Canis lupus familiaris: one gene and its partners. The main gene of each other region encodes a partner of the protein of the gene in region 3 in a complex. Links are inferred from orthologs where the notes say so. Each region holds a gene or a part of one and is shown on either strand. Other genes may lie near its edges.

The links. Proteins that work in one complex are often made in the same cells at the same time.
Region 1: the proteins of RAB8A (region 3) and RILPL2 are in contact, whole or in part, in a crystal structure (PDB 6SQ2), measured with the Homo sapiens proteins. The link is inferred for Canis lupus familiaris from reciprocal best matches to the Homo sapiens genes RAB8A and RILPL2. Residues at the interface, in NP_005361.2 of Homo sapiens: Ile41, Gly42, Ile43, Asp44, Phe45, Lys46, Ile47, Lys58, Trp62, Phe70, Ile73, Tyr77; in NP_659495.1 of Homo sapiens: Leu135, Leu138, Arg139, Leu142, Gln143, Arg145, Asn146, Lys149, Ser150, Leu153, Glu157.
Region 2: the proteins of RAB8A (region 3) and RAB3IL1 are in contact, whole or in part, in a crystal structure (PDB 4LI0), measured with the Homo sapiens proteins. The link is inferred for Canis lupus familiaris from reciprocal best matches to the Homo sapiens genes RAB8A and RAB3IL1. Residues at the interface, in NP_005361.2 of Homo sapiens: Lys10, Phe33, Ser35, Phe37, Ile43, Asp44, Phe45, Lys46, Ile47, Gln60, Trp62, Thr72, Ile73, Thr75, Ala76, Tyr77, Arg79; in NP_037533.2 of Homo sapiens: Arg104, Glu108, Leu111, Glu112, Thr115, Ala116, Phe119, Glu120, Ala122, His123, Arg127.

Annotation. Positions count from the first base shown.
Region 1 is NC_049247.1:6,385,853-6,393,448, forward strand, and holds part of RILPL2 (RILP-like protein 2), read left to right. Parts: intron 1-281; coding exon of another isoform or gene 282-315; exon of another isoform or gene 316-851; intron 852-2,920; coding exon 2,921-3,034; intron 3,035-7,596. UniProt on the Homo sapiens protein: Involved in cell shape and neuronal morphogenesis, positively regulating the establishment and maintenance of dendritic spines. Plays a role in cellular protein transport, including protein transport away from primary cilia.
Region 2 is NC_049239.1:55,116,692-55,124,287, forward strand, and holds part of RAB3IL1 (guanine nucleotide exchange factor for Rab-3A), read left to right. Parts: intron 1-1,416; exon of another isoform or gene 1,417-1,435; coding exon of another isoform or gene 1,436-1,497; intron 1,498-2,763; exon of another isoform or gene 2,764-2,894; coding exon of another isoform or gene 2,895-3,088; intron 3,089-3,212; coding exon 3,213-3,447; intron 3,448-3,790; coding exon 3,791-3,886; intron 3,887-3,979; coding exon 3,980-4,057; intron 4,058-4,715; coding exon 4,716-4,934; intron 4,935-5,867; coding exon 5,868-6,014; intron 6,015-6,528; coding exon 6,529-6,657; intron 6,658-6,744; coding exon 6,745-6,857; intron 6,858-7,596. UniProt on the Homo sapiens protein: Guanine nucleotide exchange factor (GEF) which may activate RAB3A, a GTPase that regulates synaptic vesicle exocytosis. Promotes the exchange of GDP to GTP, converting inactive GDP-bound Rab proteins into their active GTP-bound form.
Region 3 is NC_049241.1:46,747,537-46,755,132, forward strand, and holds part of RAB8A (ras-related protein Rab-8A), read right to left. Parts: intron 5,144-7,596; coding exon 5,066-5,143; intron 3,579-5,065; coding exon 3,489-3,578; intron 2,894-3,488; coding exon 2,828-2,893; intron 1,477-2,827; coding exon 1,426-1,476; intron 1-1,425. UniProt on the Homo sapiens protein: The small GTPases Rab are key regulators of intracellular membrane trafficking, from the formation of transport vesicles to their fusion with membranes.

The sequences.
Region 1 (7,596 bases), on a different chromosome or scaffold from region 3:
CTTCCCTGCCAACAGGAATTTAATCATCTTCCTTCTGCTGAAGTTGGAACCACATTAATGGAAAGACTTGTCTTCCTCTCATTTAATAAGTACTTCAGACACAGGTAGTTAAAAACAGGAACGGCTGAACTGCTGAGACTTGAGCAGCTTGTTAGCGAATAGAGCGACATGCTTTTATTTCCAGTTTTGAATTCCCAGAGAGCAGCAGCTGTGCACTTGCCATCTGGTACAGGCCTGTTGACAGCAGGATTCTGTTTACTCACTTGGGTTCTGTATTCTAGAGGAACCAGCATGTCAGCTGAGATATTCTCCTAGCAACTGCATCAGCTTGGAGGTCCAAGATCATCCCAATGATTGTTTTGAGTTGAGGCAGATGTGGTAGGCTGCTTCCAAAGATGGCCACAAGTCTTCCCATCCTGCATGCCTTCTGCAATGAGACTTTCCCTCCCCTCAAGAGGTAGAGTCTATTTTCCCTCTCCTTGAGTCTGGGCTGCCCAGTGACTTGCTTTGACCAATGGAATGTGGTAGAAGCAATACTCTTTGGCTTCTGAGGTTAGGAGATACCCGTTGCAGCTTCCATTTTTGTCCTCGTAGAATTTTTTGTTCTTGTGGAATGCTTGAGACCATAGTTCTGTGAGGAAGCTCAATACAGTACCAGGGAGAGGTCACACGAAGAAGAGAGGTACCCCAGCTGACAGCCCCAACTGTGACCCGCCTCCCACATACCCCACCAAGGCAATAAGAAATGGAGCCATCATGAGAAATCATAAATCATGGGATGCCTGGGTGGCTCAGCAGTTGAGCCTCTGCCTTCGGCCCAGGGCATGATCCCAGAGTCCCAGGATTGAGCCCCACATCGGGCTCCCTGCATGGAGCCTGCTTCTCCCTCTGCCTGTGTCTCTCCCTCTGCCATTCTCTCTCTCTCTGTGTCTCTCATGAATAAATAAAATCTTTAAAAAAAATCTTCATTGTTTTAACTCATGTGGTTTAGGGTATTACATAACAATAGGCCATGGAAAAGGGGGTTTATTGGTAACAAATAATGTATTAATATTATTACTGTAATATATAAATAATAATATAAAATAATAAGAGCTCAGTCTTTGCCAAGGAGAGAGAAGGATGAATCGTGCTCTCTGACTCTCATATCTCAAGAGGTGTCAGTCTGCTGGGCTGCCATAACAAAATACCATAGACTGGGTGATTTGTTTATTTATTTAAGATTTTATTTATTTATTTGAGAAAGAGGACAGTGGGAGACAGAGCACGAGTGAAGGGGGAGGGGCTATGGGAGAGGGAGAAGCCGACTTCCCGCTGAGCAGGGAGCCCTGACGGACTTGGACTCAGACTTGAGCTGGATCCCAGGACCCTGGGATCACAAAATTGAGCCCAAGGCAGATGCTCAACTGACTGGAGCCACCCAGGCACCCAGACTAGGCAGTTTAAACAATAGAATTTTTTTCTCTCACAATTCTGGAGGCCAGAAGTCCAAGATCAGGGTGCCAGCATGGTTAGTTCTGACTCTTCGTGGCTTCTTGTACACAGCAGAGAGAGCAAGCCCTCAGACATCTCCACTTACAGGGGCTTTAACCCAACCATGGGGGCCTTGCCCTAATGACCTCATCTAAACTCCTGGGGATGGGGTTGGCTCTATAGGTTAAGCATCTGCCTTCAGCTCAGGTCATGATCCTGGGGTCCTGGGATTGAGCCCCATGTCGGGCTCCCAGCTCTGCGGCGAGCCTACTTCTCCCTCTCCATCTGCCCGTCCCTCTGCTTGTGCTCAGTCTATCTGTCAAGTAAATAAATTTTTAAAAAAAATTATCTCCCAAAGTCCCCATCTCTAAATACCATTAGACTGGAACTTAGGGCTTCAACATCTGAATTCTGGGGGACACAATCCAATCTGTAGGAAGGGGGAAGCACCACAGGTATAAAGTAGCAAGCAGGTGCCACAGCAAAACACCTAAGTGGATACACAAGCTATACCAGGTCAGGCATTGAAATATTGCATTGTAGTCAGGCTTCCTTTGGTTGCAAGTGACAGAAATTCAGTTCAAACTAGCTTAAGTACAAAAAGGAATTTGTTAACCCACATACCTGGGAAGGATTTTGGATTTTGGGGCTGTTTTCAGAAATAAAAAACTGCAGTCAAGGCCTCAGGGTTGGAGAAGCCAGAGACTTGTTGCCTCTTTCTTTCCTCCTTGCGTCCGCTTTGTTGGCCTCATTATCTTGTGTTGTAGACACACCTTCTGGGAGTCTTATGAAATGTGGTTGCTGGCAATGCCAGTTGAACAAATGAGAAAGAACATCTTTCTTCCAGCTTCTATACATCAAATCCATGGAAATAAGTCTAGTTCTCTTTAAGTCAACTGACCTCAATATCTTATCAATCAATATCAGTTTAACTCTACATACCATCTGACTTACTATACTTTTAAAGTTTCACTTAATTTATTTGTTTATTGATTGCTTCCTTCCCCGTTGGAAAAATAGAAATCACATGATAGGAGATAATTTTGTCTGTTTTGTTCACTGCTATACTGTCACGTGCTATGTATTATTTCACTAATGATGATTATCTCATTAATCACTCAGTCCTAGGAGGCAGTTACTCTTATTATCCTCATTTGATTTATTAGAAAATCAAGGCCTAAGTTAGAGAATTGAAACATGGTCATATTCCTAAAAAGTGGAGAAGCTTGGGTTACTAGCCAGTGCAGTTAGACAAGAGAAAGTAAGAAGAGGTATCAATATTGGAAAGGTGGCAGGGGGAGATTCTTGTTATTAAGAGCAGAATCTCTCTGACTCTAGCTATCAGTGATATTATTAATGTAATAATGATTATTAAGACCCTTCACTTTCAGAGCTTCACAGACAGAAGGTCTGAAATAAAACATCCCATTTATTCCCTTTTCCCCAGTGGTCTGATTCCTCCAAGAGAAGGCCTGGGAGGAAGAAGACAAAAAGACACCCTTGTCTCCAGGACCAGCAATGCCAGCAGTAACAAGGAGGAGAAGACAATCATAAGGAAGCTGTAAGTTACTTGCTGCCCCATTGCCACTAAATCATTGTTGAAGGATGGAGTGGAGGCCCAAGGAGGCTGGCTAGCTACCCAAGGTGGGAAGGCTCTACAATCCTGATTGGTCATGCTGCCACTGTTAGGAAAATCTGAGCTGGACTATTATGAGATCTGTTGGGCAGCAGTCGTCGTCGTCTTCTTCTTCTTCTTCTTCTTCTTCTTCTTCTTCTTCTTCTTCTTCTTCTTCTTCTAAGGTTTTATTTATTTCTTTATTCATGAGAGACAGAGAGAGGCAGAGACACAGGCAGAGGGAGAAGCAGGCTCCATGCAGGGAGCCCAACGCGGGACTTGATCCCGGGACTCCAGAACCACGCCCTGGGCCAAAGGCAGGCACTAAACCGCTGAGCCACCCAGGGATCCCAGAAATCTTCTTTTTTTTTTTTAATTTTATTTATTTATTCATGAGAGACATAGAGAAAGAGGGAGAGACATAGACAGAAGGAGAAGCAGGCTCCATGCAGGGAGCCCGATGTGGGACTTGATCCCAGGACCTCAGGATCACAACCTGAGCCAAAGGCAGACACTCAACCACTGAGCCACCCAGGTGCCCCTGTTAGGCAGCAGTCTAAGCACTTGACATATATTAATTCATTGACTTTTCATAGTGACCCTGTGAGGTAGGAGCTACCATCATCTCCATTCTATAGGTGGAGAAATAGGTACCAAGAGGCAAAGTAATTTGCCTGAGGTCACCCAGATAGTGAATAGTGAAGTCAGGACTTGAACCTACTACTCCAACAACAAGAAAAATAACAATAAGGGATCCCTGGGTGGCGCAGCGGTTTAGCGCCTGCCTTTGGCCCAGGGCACGATCCTGGAGACCCGGGATCGAATCCCATGTCGGGCTCCCGGTGCATGGAGCCTGCTTCTCCCTCTGCCTGTGTCTCTGCCTCTCTCTCTTTCTCTCTCTCTGTGTGTGACTATCATAAATAAATAAATATTAAAAAAAAAAAGAAAAATAACAATAATTACTAGAGTTTATGGTCCCATAAACTGGCTGGCTCAGTTGGAGAAGCTTGTGACTCTTGGTCTTGGGGTCATGAGTTCAAGCCCCTCATTGAGTGTGGAGATTACTTAAAAAAAGGATGGGGGGGATCCCTGGGTGGCGCAGCGGTTTGGCGCCTGCCTTTGGCCCAGGGTGCGATCCTGGAGACCCGGGATCGAATCCCACATCGGGCTCCCGGTGCATGGAGCCTGCTTCTCCCTCTGCCTGTGTCTCTGCCTCATTCTCTCTCTCTCTCTGTGACTATCACAAATAAATAAAAATTAAAAAAAAAAAAAAAAAAAAGGATGGGGGTGGGCTGATTCATTACCTCTCTTACCTCCAACTTCAGAGGACCCTATGTCTCCCATCATTGGGACACAACAGTTTCCTTTGATTACCCCCCTTGTGTTTATGCTGCCTTGTTAATCCCTCATTTCTTTGGGTGCTAAGGCCCAAACCAGAGAATGTGGGGTTACTTGTTTAAATTCAGATTCCCAGAGCAACCTGGGTGGCTCAGTGGTTTAAACGTCACTTTCAGTCCAGGGCCTGATTCTGGAGACCCAGGATCAAGTCCCATGTCAGGCTCCCTGCATGGAGCCTGTTTCTCCCTCTGCCTGTGTCTCTGCCTCTCTCTCTCTCTCTCTCTCTCTCTCTGTGTGTCTCTCATGAATAAATAAATAAAATCTTTAAAATAAATAAATAAATAAATAAATAAATAAATAAATAAATAAATAAATAAATGCAGATTCCCAAACAATAAATAAATAAAATAAAATAAAGTAAAATTCAGATTCTCAGAAGTCAGGTCTACAATGAAGCCAAAAAAATCTGGATTTCTTTTTTTTTTTTTTTTAAGATTTTATTTATTTATTTGAGGGAAAGAAATCGTGAGAGAGCATAAGTTGGGGGAGGGGCAGAGGGAGCAGGAGAAGCAAACTCCCCACTGACCAGGGAGCCCAACTCAGGCTGAGGTGCCAGGACCCTGAGATCATGACCTGAGCCAAAGCAGACACTTAACTGACTGAACCACCCAGGCACTCCAAAATCTGGATTTCTAATAAATTCCTCAGGCAACTCTGATGTGGAGAAGCCTTGGACTACACTTTGAAAGATGCCTTCTCAGCCTCCAGGTGTCATACAATGAGGCATGCCTTTCCCCCACCCCTCCATGAGGCAAACACCGTTTGCCTTTGCTGCTCCAAGAATGTCTGGCCTGGTGACAGTTACCAGCCCCTGACCTCTTGGACAGAGCTGAGAAACCACCTCAGTCAGGATCTCAAATACCTTTGGGGGCCAGGCACTTAATATGGGTGAGTGATGAGGGATAGAGGGGCGGACATTTGCCAGGGTCCTGGCAAGAAACAAATAGTGCATTTAAAAGGAGTGATGTGGGGATCCCTGGGTGGCACAGCGGTTTAAGCACCTGCCTTTGGCCCAGGGCGTGATCCTGGAGACGCGGGATCAAATCCCACGTCGGGCTCCCAGTGCATGGAGCCTGCTTCTCCCTCTGCCTGTGTCTCTGCCTCTCTCTCTCTCTCACTGTGTACCTATCATAAATAAAATAATAAAAATAAAATAAAATTTAAAAAATAAAAATAAAAAAATAAAAGGAGTGATGTGGCCAGCCCGTGTGGCTCAATGGTTTAATGCCGCTTTCAGCCCAGGGTGTGATCCTGGAGACCCGGGATCAAGCCCCACGTGGGGCTGGCTCCCTGCGTGGAGCCTGCTTCTCCTTCTGCCTGTGTCTCTGCCTCTCTCTCTCTGTGTGTGTCCCTCATGAATAAATAAAATATTTTAAAAATAAAAATAAAAAAAAATAAAAGGAGTGATGTGTAACTCAGTCGGTTATGCATCTGCTTTCAGCTCAGGTCATGATCTCGAGGTCCTGAGATCAAGTCCTGTGCTCGCTTTGGCAGCACATATACTGAGATCAAGTCCTTCATCGGGCTCCCTGCTGAGCAGGGAGCCTGTTTCTCTTTTCTCCCTCCTCTCCTTCCCTGTGGCCATGCTCTCTCTCTCTCTCCCCCAAATAAGTAAATAAATAAATAAAATCTTTTTTTTTAAAGATTTTATTTATTTATTCATGAGAAACAGAGAGAGGCAAAGACAGGCAGAGGGAGAAGCAGGCTCCCTGCAGGGAGCCCGATGCAGGACTTGACCCCAGGGATCACACCCTGATCTGACAGCAGATGCTCAACCACTGAACCACCCAGGTGTCCCTTAAATAAATAAAATCTTTAAAAAATAAAAATTAAAAAAAGGAGTTAATAAAAAGATTTAAAGAAGGAACATCTTACAGACACGTGAGCAGGGTTAAGGGAACCATCAAGGGATACAGAAGCACTCCAGCATGGCGGTGTGGGCCCAGGGAGCTGTGAGGCAAAGGGAGGTGGGGGGGGGGGGGGTCCATAGAAGGACATAGCAACTAGTAAGACCAGGCCTGGTGGGGAAGGAGCTGGGGCATAAATACACCTCCCCTCCCTATCTTCCCAGCACCTGCTGGCACCTCCCATTGGCTTGCTGCTCTCATCCACTGAGCTCAGCCTCTCCTGAGTAGACAAGGGGACAGAGAAAGGATGAGATGAATCTGAGGGGCACACAGCCCACTTAATATGCACATACATAGTTCAGTTAAGGGTTACCAGACTTTCTGGAATGCCTGCATGGAAAACTGCTCTGTCAAACAAGACTACATGAAACCAAAATAATTCATCCCTCCACCAAATATTTACTGGGGGCCTGCCATGTGCCAGGCATTGTTCTAAGTCCTGGGGATGCAGTGAACAAGATGAAGCCCTTGCCTTCATGGTGCTTACACTCTAGCAGGGGAGTCAAAGAGTGTGCAGGTAAGGAAGTATATTAACACTTCATCTTCAGCTATCCATTAAATAGGCAGTGGAGAGAGAAGTTGACAGGGGTAAGTCCTGGAAGGCTTCTGTGAGGAGGTGACAGTCAAGCTGGGCCCTGAAAGATCATAAAGATCTGAGGGAAGAGCATTCCTGGTGGAGGGAACAGGCAAGAGGCCTGAGATCAGTCAAAGCAGGGGGCAGGGGGTCCCAGTGAAGACCTTGAGTTTCACTCTGAACACTTTGGGAAGACACTGGAGGGTTTTAGGTTGGAGAGTGACATGACCATATTTACATGTAAAAGCTCCCTCTGTTTTGTGGAGGAGGTGTGGGGGGACAAGTCAGAGCATGGCCTGGGGGAGTGTTTCTTTCACAAGGAAGGTTCCCCTGAGGTAAAGTAAGAAGGAAAGAGCATCTCTATGCCACACCAGGTGGGGCACTTGGAGACATTTGTTCAGCACTTCTATTGGCTGGGCATCCCATTGTAAATAAGGCTTCCAGGAGATGTAAGCTACTGGTTTCTCTGCCTCCTCGAGGAGAGTTCTTTGGGCCCCTTAGAGTTTGGGCTTGATGTGGCAAAAAATAAAATGTTTGTTCTGTGCACAAGCCAGCCTGAGGTCTTGTGTCTAATGAGCACAAGGCCATAATTTCATGGTCAGACAAGCTTATTAAGCTAATTGAATGAA
Region 2 (7,596 bases), on a different chromosome or scaffold from region 3:
TCCGAGCAGAGGGCCATGGGCCTGGCCTGAGGGGCAGGGAGGGGATGTGGTGCAGAAGCACTTAAGTGGAAGCCCAGGCTTGTCTGAGGAGTGAGTTCCCCAGCACCACGGGCATCCCATTCGAGGTTTTCCAGCCCCTGGTCCAGGATGCTGAAGTGTGTGAAGACAGAGGATACTGGCTTGGCTGGACCTATGGGGCTTGGGGTCCCTCGTTCCTCTGAAATTTCTGAGTTGCCTCATGGCCCAGAAGTGCGAGGTGAGGGCCTGCAGATTCCCACTTCCCTCCCAGTACAGGGCAAGCCCATCTTTCCTGAACCCCCAGCCCAGGCATTGAGCAGTTGGTGACTGCCAGGTGGTCCTACTCTACCCACGCTTTCTGCCATTAGGATTTTCAAGTTGGGCTTTTATGCTGGGGATGGGGGCAGAGCCTGTTGTCTCTGGCTGCAAAACTGGGCCCTATCTTTCCCAGAAGTGGGCTGAAGTGAGAGCCTGTTGGGAAAATGATGGGGGACAGTCCAGCCATGACCCCAGCCCCTACCCTCGGGACCAGCAGGAGAGTTAGTGTCTTTCACTCTAGTGGGAGGCCCAGACCACACTGGTGGCCCTCGTGGGAGGCACTGGAGGTCTTTTTCTCCTAGGCAGGGGCGTGGGTGATGTCTGGGATGATGTCCTCACAGAGGAAAAGACACCAGGGCTGGGTGTCTAGAACCTGGGATCCTGCCCTGTGTCCCATGCTGTCCCTGCTGGTTACCCCTATCCTTGGCCCACGTTTCTGGCTCATCCTGTTGAAGCATTCAGCTCCTGAGTTGGAGTCCGCTGTCCCTATCAAACCTGAGCAACTAGGGCCATCTGTCCTCTCTCACCTGAGGGATCAGCCCTGGTCCCCTGCTGAGCTGGGAGCCTGATGTGATGCAGTGCTGGATCCCAGGACTTGGAGATCATGACCTGAGCCCAAGGCAGACTCTCAGCCATCTGAGCCACACAGGAGCTCCTCCTCCAGATTTTTACTCCCATCCCACAGGTGGGAAGCAGCTTCAGAGAACTGTAGTGCCATTCATAGGGCTGGTGTGTAAGTACCCAGCTCAGAGCCCAGTGTGGACCTGGCCTCGTCTGCCTCTGGCCTCTGCTCTCAGCCACAGCTCCCCCAGCCTGGCCCGCCCTCCTGGGAGGCAGTTTCTGGGCCTGAGCAGAAGCTGAGAAGTCAGTCGGGCCAGAATTGGGTCAGATTTCCCTGCTGCAGCCAAGGAAGAGTCTCCCGAGTCTGCCTGGGACCAGCAACTCTTGATCTGGAGACAGATGCGCTGATTCCATCCTCAGCCCCCACCTACCAGGCGGGGGATGCTTTGGGTCTAGACCGAAGCCCTGGCTGCCTAGACAAGTTTTGCACCTCTCAGACACTCTGTCCCTCATCTGTAGGACGGGGACAGTCCCATGAATGACATCAAGAGCTGTAAATGAAGGACATGAGCAGAGCAGCCAGGCGGCACCTGGCACAATGTGAGTCCACTGGGTGATGACCCCAGTCTAGGGCCACTGTAGCACTGCCGCAGCCCCTCCTTGAGCCTCAGGAGCCACTTGCCAAGGGAGGACCCTCTCCCCCTCCCACCACACACACACGAAGGTGTTAGGAAGCATCCCTGTCTGGATAGACACTGTAGATGGAGAAATAGATGTGTTTCCCCACGTCATCTGTCAGAGCCCTGGATCCCTGCCGGTCAGGACCCAGCCAAGGAACCATGAGGCCACAGTCTGGGCCCTTTCCAGAGCAGAGAGCAGGCTGGGCTGGGTGTAGGGACAGAGCTACATGAAAGGTTGGAAGTGGACTCATTGCTGGGGTCCCTGGGCACCCAGTCCCTTTGTGTTCCCTGGGAGGGAGACTGAGGCTTAGGGGCAGCTTGGTGACTGTCTCAGGGTCCTGGTGACAGGGGGGACTGCTCTCTGGTCTTGCTTTTCACACTTTTCCCTGAGAAAGCCTGAGTCCCGTGACCCCTTGGCCTTGTCTTTCCTTCCCACTATATGGGCCCCCCCTGAGCCCCCTCCACTCCCCCCCACCCCCCACCCAGCCCCTCACCCTCACCCTCACCCTCCGCATAGCCACAATGGCTCCAAAGCTGCTGGCTCAGGAGCCACCAGCTTTTGCTGAGTGAGCAAGTCCAGAGGTGCTGTCTTGGCACAAACCACTGTTGGCTGAGCCCTCTCCCTTCCTGCCTCCCTCCCTCGGCAGGGTCTGTTGCAAAGGGGGGGGTGGGTGTGGGGGTGTGTGGATGGACAGTGGGGGGGGGAGGCGGGGACAGAGGCTGCTGGCCGGGGCACCACCCCTAGGGTCTCCCGCTTCAGGGAGCGGAGGGTCCTGAGGCCCAGAGGGGGGTGTTTGAGGTCATGAGGCCAACCGGCGAGCGCCACCCGTGGAGGGCCAGGACCGCGCCCCGCCAGGTTCAGGGCACAGGAAGGCAGTGGGCCCCGTCCGGGCTGTTTGACAGAATCTTCCTGCCCCATCTCCTGGCCCTGGCTGCGTCCTCCCTCCCCTCCTGCCCACCCTGAGTGGGGTAGGATTTGCATCAAATCTGCATTAACAATAGCCTAGAAGGCAGTTCCTTTATGAGCCTTGTGTGTGCCGGGGTTTTTTTTTTTTTAATTTATTTTATTTTATTTTATTTATTTATTTATGATAGATAAATAGATACATAGATAGATGGATAGAGGCAGAGACACAGGCAGAGGGAGAAGCAGGCTCCATGCCCCGGGAGCCCGACGTGGGATTCGATCCCGGGTCTCCAGGATCGCGCCCTGGGCCAAAGGCAGGCGCTAAACCGCTGCGCCACCCAGGGATCCCCTGTGCCGGGGCTTTGTGCACGTCAGATCCGCTTGGTGACCCTCGAGGTGGAGCCGTGGCAATGGTCCCCCGCCTTGCAGAAATGGAGAGCCAACGCATTTCGTCATCTGTGGACCAACACAGACTGAGCACTGGCTGCGTGCCGATCCCGGCCCTAGAGGGGGTTGGCACAGATGAAGGAGTCCTGTCCCTGCCCCAAGGAGACCCTGTGTTGGCTCATCCCGCCCTGGTGACAAGCCAGTGGCAGCCTCGCGGGTAGGGTTGCTGTTTCACAGAGGGGCCCAGGGCAGCCTCAGTGGCAGGCGTGGTCCTCAGGGCCGGTCCTGGGCTCAGCGCTGGGGCTCCGAACCCCAGCCTGTGTCTGCTTTTTGCCTCACAGCCAGCCCCACCCAGACGAGGGCCACCCGCCGCCCCTTGAAACCGTCCCGGTCTCCTGGAAGGGCTGCAGGGAGTCCCCCGGAGGCCCGGCAGAGAGCCCTGCTGGGGAGGAGGCCCAAGGTGAGGACAGCCCCACGGCTGCGCAGCTGGACGTGTTGCGCCTGCGAAGCTCTTCCATGGAGATCCGTGAGAAGGGCTCAGAGTTCCTGAAGGAGGAGCTGCACAAAGCCCAGAAGGTGGGGCTCTGGGGGTGGTAGGGCTCGGGGCCTACCTGGAGGCTCCCGTCAGGGCCACCTGCCTGCACAGACGCTGGGGCTGGGCCTGAGGGAGCACAGAGGAGAAACCAGTGCTTGTGACTCTGGAGGATTTTTTAGGAGTCTTGACTTCTCCGAAAGCCCCTTCTAGGCAGCTGGGGTTGCAACATCATGCCGCAAGCTAAGTGGGAACTGCGTCGTCAACTGCAGGGCGACAGAGGAAGGGGGTTGGGGCCCAGGGCCAAGGAAGAGGACCCCGTGGTGGAGCCTGGTCAGGGGGCCTAGAGCCCCAGGGGGCTGACAGCCACTCTCCCCGAACCCCCAGGAGCTGCAGCTGAAGGACGAGGAGTGTGAGCGGCTGTCCAAGGTGCGGGAGCAGCTGGAACAGGAGCTGGAGGAGCTGACGGCCAGCCTGTTTGAGGTACAGGCCTGCTGGCTGGGGGACAGGTTGGGGAGCAGGTCTGTGGGGTGCGCTGGCGCCTCATCACTCACGCAGAGCCTCCCTGCTTCCCAGGAAGCCCACAGAATGGTGCGGGAAGCCAACATGAAGCAGGCAGCGTCAGAAAAGCAGCTGAAGGAGGCGCGGGGCAAGGTGAGGTCCCCACCACTCCGGCCCAGCCAGAGCTCCCCTCGAGTCAGCTTTGGCTACCTGATCGGACCCTCGCACCCCCGCGTGTCCCAGGGTTGTGGGGCAGTGGGGATGGGCAGACCCTGCGGCCTAGGAAAGTGAAGCGGGGGTCTGAGATGCTACAGCTGAAATCCAACTCCCCAGCACTCGGGCAGTATTTCCAGCGCACAGAGACCTTTCTGGGGCTTACTAGGGCGGGGCGGATCCTGTAGTCCTTACAGTCTCTTTCCTGCCTGCCTTACTCTCCTTACAAAGCAAAAACCTTGTCTGGCCACGTGAGCCGGGGCAGGGAAGTTCTTCCTCTTTTCAGAGTCTGTTTGTACGTCTGTCAAATGTGAGGGCTGGGTAGTTCCTGGCTCCTGGGCCCCTCGGTGGGAGGCCCAGCCACCTCCTGGACAGGTGCCTCCAACAGAGCCCTGGCATACTGTGTGACCTCGGGCAGGCCACAGTCGCTCTCCGAGCCTCCCTTGCCCTCTCTAAAGCGGAGGTCTCATGCTGTTCCAAGGATGACAGGCCGGGTTACATGCCAGTCACTGCTGGGACAGGTTATCCTGAGCTGGGGTGGCTGGAGGTTGGCAGCCAGGCCCGCATTAGGCCTTGACAGCCATCTCATCCCGGCCAGATCGACATGCTGCAGGCGGAGGTGACCGCCTTGAAGACCCTGGTCCTCACATCCACACCAGCCTCTCCCAATCGCGAGCTGCACCCACAGCTGCTGAGCCCCACCAAGGCTGGACCCCGCAAGGGCCACTTGCGACATAAGAGCACCAGCAGCGCCCTTTGCCCCGCCATGTGCCCCACTGCCGGACATCCCCTCACCCCGGACAAGGAGGGCAAAGAGGTGAGGGGTGGCAGGAAAGGGAGACACGGTCTCAGTGTCAGCCAGGCAGGGGGGCCCAGTGGGGAGTCCTGACCCCTCGCTGTGTGACCTGGAGCCTGGCCTGCCATCTCTGGGTCTCTGTGTCCCCTGTCTGGGAGGGCTGCGCAGGTTTTTTGTGATAGGAGGTTTGGCCCTCAGCCTATGAATGTACCGTGTGTACCCCTCCTGTGTGCCATGAGGGCCTGGTAACCCCTCCACAACCCTCCAGTAGTAGGTGGTACTCTGTGCACCCGAGACTGGCCTGGGGCCTGGGGGCCTGGCCTAGGTGAGGGGGATGGGGAGAGTTCTTCAGGAAGACATATTCTCTGAGCCTAAAGAGGCCACTGCTGGGCCTCTGGGGACAAGCTGCTTGGGCCCTGCATGCCCATAGCCCTGAGGTCCAGGACCAGCTTGTGACATCCCTGGATTTGAAGGTCCTCAGTGCCTCTGGCTGTGGTACCTGGACAAGCACAGACTTTTGGGGCTGTCTCCCTCCCTGCCTCTGAGCTGGGTACATGGGGTACTTGGTCCAGGCGGGCAGTGGGCTCTGATGTCCTTGGCCGTAGGTCTTTGGGCAAGTAAAGGCACCTGCCAGAGCCTCAGCTTCCTCACATAAGTAGCGCCTCCTGGGGCCATGCAGACCCACAAGACCGGGGTGCTGGTTGCTCAGCTCAGGGCTGCACCCAGTGAACCCCACCAGGGCTGCAGGGGGACCCAGGCTCCTGTGAAGCAAGGCGGCCCCCATCTCCATGCTGCCCCGTGTCTCTGGGGCTTCCAGGGAGAAAGCGCGGGCTAGGCCTCTCCCCCACTTCTGAGTCCTCAGCTTCTAACTGGACACTAACATCTCCTCCCTACTGTCTGTTCTGTCTCTGTGCATCTGTCCGTCTGTCTCTCTTTGTCTGCCCCTCCCCCCAGCCTGGGCTGCCCCCCTTCCTCTCCCTGCTCCTCTGCGTGGTCCCCAGCAAAGCTGTTCAACTCACCTATGAGCCGGCCTGGCAGCTCCTGCCTGGGGAGCCACCTACGGCCCCCTCCTCTGCTACCTCTCTCTCCTTTTCCCAACAGGTAATGGCTCTGGAGAGGGGCCGCCCCTCTGCCCCTGCCCAGCCTCATTCTCGCTGCACATGCCCCAGGGCAACCAGCTAGTCATCTGTCCCCAGGGAGGCAGCCCGTGTGTGTTCCTTCTATGTGCGTGGGCCTGTGTGTGCCATGGTACCTGCGTGTGGGGGGTACCTGCAGGGCCGGTCTTCAGCTTTTCCTCCTCCAGGAGGCAGAGAGGTTGTTAGGGACGAGGCCCTGGACCAAAGTCTGTAACCTCATAGAGCCGAGAAGCTAAAAGCACACCTAGATATGAAAGCTTGAGTTCTGAGGCCTTCAGTGCAGAGGGAAGGAAGTAGTTCTTCTTGGGAACTCTGCCCCCCTGCTTAGCCACTGGGGACAGACCCGCTGGCAGGCTGGGGCCTGCCCTGCAACCCTCCTGGCCCCTCACCTCGTTCAGTTCTGCCTATCCCTGCCATGCTGCCCCCCTGCCCCCCGACCCGGCGTCTGACTGCCCCATCAGGCTCACCCTCCCCCACAGGTGGACACAACCCTATTCGCAGAGTTCCAGGCCTGGAGGGAGTCACCCACCCTGGACAAGACCTGCCCCTTCCTTGAGAGGGTGTACCGGGAGGACGTGGGCCCCTGCCTGGACTTCACGATGCAGGAGGTGAGGCAGAGGGCAGCTGGCCCCAGGCCCAGCCTCTCACGGAGGCCAGCCCCTCACTGACCCACCTGCTGCCCTGCTCTGCCGCAGCTCTCAGCACTGGTACGGGCCGCCGTGGAGGACAACACGCTCACCATCGAGCCCGTGGCCTCGCAGACACTGCCTGCAGTGAAGGTGGCTGCAGTCGAGTGTGGCAGCACCAAGTGAGCTTGGCGTCCTTCCTCCTTTCCTGCCCGCCACACCTAGCCTGGTGCTCTGCCAGCTGGGGACTGAGCCTCAGGCCTGCCTCCTAGGGTCCTGGTGTGGGTCCTGCAGGGGGTGTGGCTGGGGACTGAGCCTCAGGCCTGCCTCCTAGGGTCCTGGTGTGGGTCCTGCAGGGGGTGTGGCTGGTGACTGAACCTCAGGCCTGCCTCCTGGGGTCCTGATCTTGCAGGGAGTGTGGCTGAGGACTGAGCTTCCTGGTGTGGGTCCCCCGTGGGTGAGGGGGCGCACAGGCCTGGCTGGGGAGGATTGCAGAGGCATGCAGGGTGGGGAGGCATCTCTGGCAGAAATTCCTGCCTCTAGTCATAGATCCTCAGGCCTTCCGGGGAGCCCGGGAACTGGAGCCTCCCTCTTCTTGGCTGGCCTGACAGGCATCTCTCTCCCACAGTGGGTTCTGGGCTCTGACTGATGTGTAAGTGATGTCAGCTGCCAGCTCCCCTTGTGCTAATAAATAACCAAACAGCCCTGGCATCTTGTCCTTCCTGCCATTCAGCTGCCATCGAGCAGGACTCACAGCAGAACAAAATAGCCAGGGTGGAAGCAAGGGCAGAGATGGGGAGCACTTTCCTTCGGCAGCCCAGGATTTGACCTGCCAGGGATGCCCCACTGGGGAGACTTGTCACAGAGGGGAACATTTGAGCTGGGTTTTGAAGGATGGATCGGAGTTTGCCAAGTAGGCAA
Region 3 (7,596 bases):
TAGATGAGTAGGTTCTGGAGATATGATGCACAGCATAGTGATTACAGCCGACAAAGTTGCTAAGAGACACAATCTTAATTGTTCTCAACACAAAGAAGGAATGATAGCTAAGGGAGGTAATAAAGGTGTTAGCTAACGCTACTGTAGTAATCAGATTTCAAAATACAAACGTATTAAAAACAACATACTGTACACCTCGAACATGCATAATGTTACATGCCAATTATATTTCAATTAAGAAGACAAGACCGAGATGAAGTGGTATGGTGCATGAATATAAACAAAGGTGCCAGGAAATGAGTAGGAATTTAACTGTCAGTATTGTGCGATTCAGTTCAGACAAAGAGGACTCGCAAGGACTGTGGCTGCACCTTAGGGCTTCAGGCTCTGCTATGGAGGATACAGTGCTTCTGGAGGCAATCTACAGGCTGATGCCAAAAGCACAGGCTGAGGAAAGCAGGGTGTCATCATGACTGCTTCACATAACTGTCAGTGGGCAAGTGTCAGAAGGACCATCCAGAATCACAATTTTACTGTCATACTGACGAGAAAAGAAATGATAGAAAAACGACATGCTGTTTCTGGTCAGTGTGTTTACGTGGGCTGCTCCCTGTTTTGGTTAAAAGGCTGCTACGAAATCGGTTATATCCCTTATGACTCCATTTGCAGCACCTCAGAATGATGAAGGCATGTATTAAATCGGAGGTGAACTATTTGAGTGGCGTTTTGTGTTATACTGACACTCCTGTATGACCAGACGTAACCTGAGCAACAAATAGATGGCTTTACACTGTATCAGACGACAAGGGGAGGGAAAGGGCTGGGAAAGAGTGGCCACTGGATTGGAGGCTCTGGGTCAAGACTCACGGCAGTGTTCAGGTGCTAAACATGCCCAAGGTATATAGCCAAGTGTGTAGACATGACCAGAGGTGCCACTAGAAATGCCCAGTGCCTGGGACCATGAAACAAAAAAGCCAGAAAATAAAAGGTTGGATAGAGAGGAATTCAGGCAGGACCCCTCAGACGCCCCAAGGCCTGGGGACCCACTGAAGGTCACAGAGCTGTCACCGGGTGGACTGAGGCTCTGGACTAGCCTTGAGAGGGCGTTCTCTCCTCACGCATGCTGTCTCCCGGATGAGACAGAAAGGGCCGTGTGTTCCCTGCTAGCCCACCGGCTAAGCAGACAGCACCTGGCATAGGGCAGCTCCGAGCCATGGAGGAAGGATGGAGCAGACCAGTGCACCTGGCTGTGGATGCCCAAACGTCTCCTGCTAAAACCCTTGCCCCTTTCCCAGAGATGCCCTACTGGGTCTGGCTGGGCCCAGATGAGTAGCATCTGCCTGGGGATGCATCACAGAGCTAAGGCCAAGTACAGCTGGCTCCATCAGGGATCCATGCAAGGATTCAAAGAGGACATACACTCACCAATTTTTTGTCCATCTTTGCTTTGATGTCTCTGGCGAGAGTGAAAAATGCCTGTGGAACAAGCATGTCATTATGTCATTAGTGCCCCTGGAGCAGGGAGCAGATAGGGGCTTGTTAGTTCCGGGCTGCCCCTGTGTAGGAGACATGGTGGGGTTGGGGGTAGGGGTGGCCAGAGTTAGGGTAGCTCCCTGGGTGTGGGTGTCACCTGTCCAGCCCCATCTCCTGCCACTACTGGGGTACTCCTGCCAACCTGGATAGCCACCTCCCTTGAACCAATGACCTGGGATGTGGGGACTCTGTCCTTAACTGAACAGAGAGGAAACTTTGGTTCAAAGCAGTCGGTGACTTGTCTGAAGGCAGTCAGTGTCTAACTGTCAGAGCTGGAAGGATCCAGTAGGAGGACCTAGCTCCCCATCCCGGACTCCCGGGCTCTGTCCACTTCAGCCCCTGCTTCTGATGGTCAGGAACGGAGCAGAAACAAAGACAAGCCGTTCTTAGTCAAACAAGCTTCATTTGGGGCCCCTGTTGGCAGGGAGGCCTAGAAGGGGCGGTACCAGGTGAAAAGTTATCTCCTCATGCTTGACGAAGGCTCGCCCAGGCCCCTCTTGGGGCCACGTGATGTGGAAAGTTCTGCTGTGGCGGGTGACTTGGGGGTGCTAGGGAAGCCCAAAGCAGGGGGGCATATGGGTCTAGGAGACAGGAGACACTTTCCTGGGGAGGGCCCACCTGGGCTGGCTCCCAAGGGTAAAGGGGGTACGAGGAAGGTGCTGCACAGGCAGCCTGGGATAGAGAGCGGTGGGCAAGGCCCAAGCAAGCTGTGGGTGGCACACACTGGCTGGGGCTGGTAAGGAAGGACCTTTTCTGCCAGGCGTATTGGGTTGAGCTTGGGAGCAACATGGAAGATCCATTTTAGAAAGATTACTGGGGCAGTGGGATGGAGGCTTGCAGGTTAACTGCAAGGCTGGCATCGCCATGGCGAAGAGAGTGGCCTGGGCCAAGGCTCAGCCAGGGTTCCTGACTCCATCTAGGCAAGCGCCTGGGGCCTGTCTGTGAGGGTGGTGTGTCCAAGAGAACAAACTTAGAGCCAGACCTGGGCACCAGTCAGCTGGGCCTGTCTGAGCCTCAGTTTCTCTACCTACGAAACTGTGCCTGCTCCCCAGCATTGCCCAAAAGCCACTGAGCTAATACTAATACCCTAGGTGGCCAGCCAGAGTCTGCACCTGCTGATGTCACAACATGGCAGCGAGTGATTCCCCTGGGGGGCCTGGCATGTGGCACTGCCCAGAAAGTGTCTCCCGGCCAGCTGGCTGATAAGGCAGCCCGGAGCCTGAGGCAGACCCTCCCCAGGGGGTACAGCCTGTCCCTCAGCCCAGAGGGTCTGTGCTGCAGGCCCAGGACTCACGTTCTCCACATTGATGTTGGCCTTCGCACTGGTCTCCATGAACTTGATTCCATAGTCCAGGGCCAGCTGTGAGGAAGGGAGACACACACATGCACACCGGCCACCAGGCACTCACCCCCAAGCCCAACAAACCACCCTGAGTGGGTAGAAATGAAGTGTGGGGGGGTGTCTCAGGCTGTGGATCTGACCTCCTGGGCTGCTCCCACAAGTCCCCAGTGGAGAGCAGGTGGTGGATGTCCCTGGCAGGAGGATGGGGGGGCCTGGCTCAAACCACGGCTGTGTCATCTGCTCCCAGTGGTCTCAACACGTTCCCACCAGACACCATACAGGAGCAGAAGGACACCCTAGAAGCCCCTGTGCTTGCCGTCTTTAGACTGAAGCCCAGCTGGGTGAGTGCTTTCCACTCTCCCTTCCCAAGGAAAGCACCAGAATGGTGCAACCAATGTGTCCTGGTTTGCTTGGCAAAGTCCTGAGTCTCAGACCCCTGAAGTCTTGTACAAGCCAGGATGGCGGGTCACTGTATGCTCATAAAGACTGTGAAGGGGTCTCCCCCAAAGCCCACTTCACCAGCAGCAATCGGGAACCCTCCATGCAGAGAACCCTAAAATCCCAAGGTCCCTTTGCCATGCGGCACCAGGTCCAAACCAGTTGCCACACTCACCTTTTCTCCCCGTTCCTTGGAAACTTGTCTTTTGTCGTTCACATCACACTTGTTTCCGAGTATCATCTTTTCGACATCTGCAGAAGCATGCTGACAGGGAGAGGGGACGGGAGGTGAGGGACTACAGGCCAACATGCAGTTTGTCCCGAAATCAGCATGGTGGGCGAAGACCGCAAGCATACCCTTGTACAGGTGACAAGCTGAGGCTCAGAGGGGCTGAGTGGCCTGTCCCACATCACACAGCTAACACAAGAGCAGGGTCTAGGTTCTAATACCCTGAGCAACCACATGCCTTCTGGCTGCTGATGACAGCTTCTCTATGGGCTGTGTCACCCAGGCTCCAAGGTCATCCCTGGACTCCTGGCAGGGACTAGCCTATGGGAGGCAAGCAGGGCTGGGCTATTTAGCCCTGTTCACCTCCCTCCCTTTGTGGCTCTTCTGCCGGAGGACCCTCTGCCTCCCCACCCCCCAGCTCGCTCTGTTTGGGCTCTGGAAGTGGGCCATGCCTGTCTGGGGTGCCCCCACCCCCACCCCCCTACTGCAGCCAGTCCTGGGTGCTTCCCTATCCCTTGGCACTCCCACCACTGCCCCCGGGGCCTGAACAGGGCTCCTCCTCCAACCCTTTCTCCAGAGGAGGGGCCTGTGCTTCCTGAAGGACCAGAGTGTGAGAGCTTCCTAGTGTAGCTTAGATCTGGTCTTAGTGAAATACCCTGTACTGCTCCCAGCCTAACTTCCTGTTATCTGCAAGACCCCCTTCTTCCACAAAGATCCAACATGAGCGGTCCTTGTCCTCAGCCAGGGCCCAGCCTCTTAACCAGCAAATACAGGGGTGTCAGGAGGAGGCCTGATGCCACTGCTCACAGATGCCAGCAGTGATATGACCTTTGGCCACGGCTTTATGGATGGGTGAAGTCCTCTGGCTGCATCTCAGACCTGAAGCCCCACCTAATGAGTCATCAAGAGCCTCAAGTGCCATTGTCCAAGAAGGCTTTGCAGGTGACAGCAAGCTCTATGCAAAGCTGAAGGGCAAGGGCACTGGTTGTGGGATGGGAAGGTAGGGATAGCTGCCTTCTTTTCCCTCCTTGGTTCCAGGTCTTCTTTCCCAGCCAGGTGTAGCTGTAGAGCTGCTGCCCAAACATGGTTAGCTCAAACCAGCTCATGCCCTGCTCTGTTGAAACTCAGTACAATCTGAAATGCCATCTCACAATATCCACCAAATGCAAGGGTCATGCCTATTCTAGAACCTTCCTTTTCTAGAAAGCACCAAATGCTGATGGCAATCAAGAGCTCAGATATCCCTTCTTTCCTGAGACACTGCCCAAACCCAATAGCCTGCTGGGGAAATGGGCTCTCAGGGCCACCCTATAAGGCCAGGCCCTTGTATGGACTCCAGGGTCAGCCGCCTGGGTTCCAGTCTCCATTCTGGTTATGTTCTTAGCTACGGGGCTCTTGGCAAGTGACTTCTAGTGGTCTCTGTGCCTCAGTGATCTCGTCTGTGAACTAGGCAGCTCTGGGGTGGGGACTGAGGAGACGGCACGTATGAAGCTCCTAGGCATGTGAGGAGCAGCAGGCCTTACCTCCTCAATGTTCCGAATCCAGTTCCGGATATTGTCAAAGGATTTCTCGTTGGTGATGTCATAGACCAGCATGATGCCCTAAGGGAGAGAGACATGCACGCCGGATGAGCTGTGAGCTGAGGGGGAGGCCCCCAGCAAGGTGGGATGGCCGGGACCAGCACCAACAGAACACACCCCCCACTACCTCCCTCCACTCCACCCCTGGGGCCCTTCCTTCTGCTGAACTGCAGCACCAGCTCCTCCCCAGGCTCTAGTCCTGCCTACTTAGCCACTAAGGTCCTTCACCTTACAGACCAGATCCCACCATATTCATGCTTACAGATGAGCCCTATAGGCTCCTCAGTGCCAGCAGGATAAGACTGGCCCATGCCCTGGCAGCCCTCAAGGCCCTGCCGACCTCCTAGCGTCATGTCCCACAGCTCCCTGCCCTGCATGCTGTGTTCCATGGCCCCAGCACCCACTGGGATCCCCCTTACACCCACCCTCTACTGTGCTCAGCCTCCTCCACACCCTCCCTCACCCCGCCATGCCAGAGTTTCGTCTGGGCACTCCAGCATGACCTCTCATCTGGCACCTACTATGGGCCAGGTACTGCAGTAGGGTCTCACTGAAGCTACATAGGTGCTGGTCAGATGGGTGCCAAGGTCCCCACTCTGCAGATGGAGACCCTGAAGTGGAGGGATGGCTAGGCCCACTTGTCCCATGGGAGAGCCAAGGGCACAAATGGGGGCTGAAACCTTGATGGCCTGATCTTGACACCCTTGTGCATTCTAGTGACTCCATCTAAGTGGGGGCCAGCTTGGAGCATGGGGCTGGGCAGCACTGAGGTCCCTGAGGTTCCACAGCTAATGCACGAACACCCAGGAGATAGTCCAGGGGTCTCGAGAAAGAGCGGCAGAATGAACCCACTTCCACCTTGGCCCATGATCTTACCACCATCAAGAAGGGCCAACATCCTGTTCGATACAAGGGAAGCTGAGGCACACAGAAGTGGCCTTTAAGATTGAAGCCCGGACAAGACTAACTCTGAAGAAGCTGATCACACCAGCTTCAGTTAGGAACCTCCCTGGGTCCTCATCAGGACCAAGCAATGCTGAGGGCCACCTTTGAGGCCCATGGCCCCAGCTATCCTGCCCTAGCCTGGTTTACTGCATTCCCTCATGCCACCCCCTCCAAGGGCCCAGCCATGCACCCATGACCTCTGGTGCTGGCTAAGATGTGTCTGAGGCTGCCTGAGTCTGCAGAGTAAGAACACAGGCTGTGGGTGCCAGGAGAGCAGGGTGCGTGATGATCATGAGGAGGATGTGTGACAAAACCTCAAAGACAGGGCAAGAGAACCACCAGATCCCGCATCTCAGCCAGGAACCTGAGGAGACACATGGCAGCCTCATAGCTTGCCACAACCACGGCCATAGCCAGGACCCATCAAGATGCTATCTGAGGGCCCTTTCCCAGGGCTCTCTTGGGGGGACTGAAGAGAGGCCACTTGCAGGATAACTCAAAGGAGCTTTCAGCAGCCACACTGTCTACCATCCCCTAGCCAAGGCCAGCTTGAGTAGGAGACCCTGGCATGCCATTAATCAAGCATCATGGAGGCCTCTGCCCAGTAGCTGCCCTCTGGCCATGAGGGGCAAGAAATGCCACAGGGTCCTGAGGCCTTTCCATTCATTTACCCAGGGACTGGCCCTCTGGTGGCCCAGGACTCTGGCTACCACCAGCAAGTTGATACCCCATGCCCAAGATTCCAAGGTCCCAGATATTCACCAACCAAGGGGTATAGGCAGTAGGTAAAGCTCTACCAGGAAAGAGAAGTATCTAGAAAACACAGGATCACCCTATTCTAGGTCCTCCTGGAAACTCTCCTTGGAGCCTCAATGGACCATTCTCCCAGACTGCATTGCACACAGCACCCTCATTGGGTTGTAAACTCACGATGGGACAACAAACATCAAATGTTGCCCAAGTTTGGGACCCAAGAGTCTAGTACTGTGCAGGGAAAGAACAATGGCTTCCAGGGTGGCACTGTTCTCTGAGCTGTCCTGTGAGGTTACCACTGGCCACACGTGGCTCTAGGGTAGCTAAAATGCAACTAGTGCTCCTGAGGAGTTGGACTTCTCTTTTAATCAATTTAAATTCAAAGAGCCACATGTGGTTGCTGGGTTATATATGGGTTAGCAGAGATCTAGGACTGTAAGCCACAAACTCCTACGGCTGGACAGGGCCATACAGATGGCTCAGCCCAGGGTCACCAGGGGCTGGCTGAGGATGTGGGCAATGGAGGCAGCCAATCAGTAGTGGCCCAGCCTTCTACCCTCTGCGTGAATTTAAGCAGGGCACGGAACTGAGCTGAGCCTCAGGTTCCCCATCTATAAAATGGGGATAACCGTAGCACCTATGCTCAGGGATTAATGGCCAAGACCTGGGCCCCAGCAGCTGGCCCAGGAAGGGGCTCAGTGAATGGAGCAATAGGTGGCTATTTCAGGCCAGACAGGGATGCGGCCCACCTGAGGCCACAAAGAAGAATCTCCCCT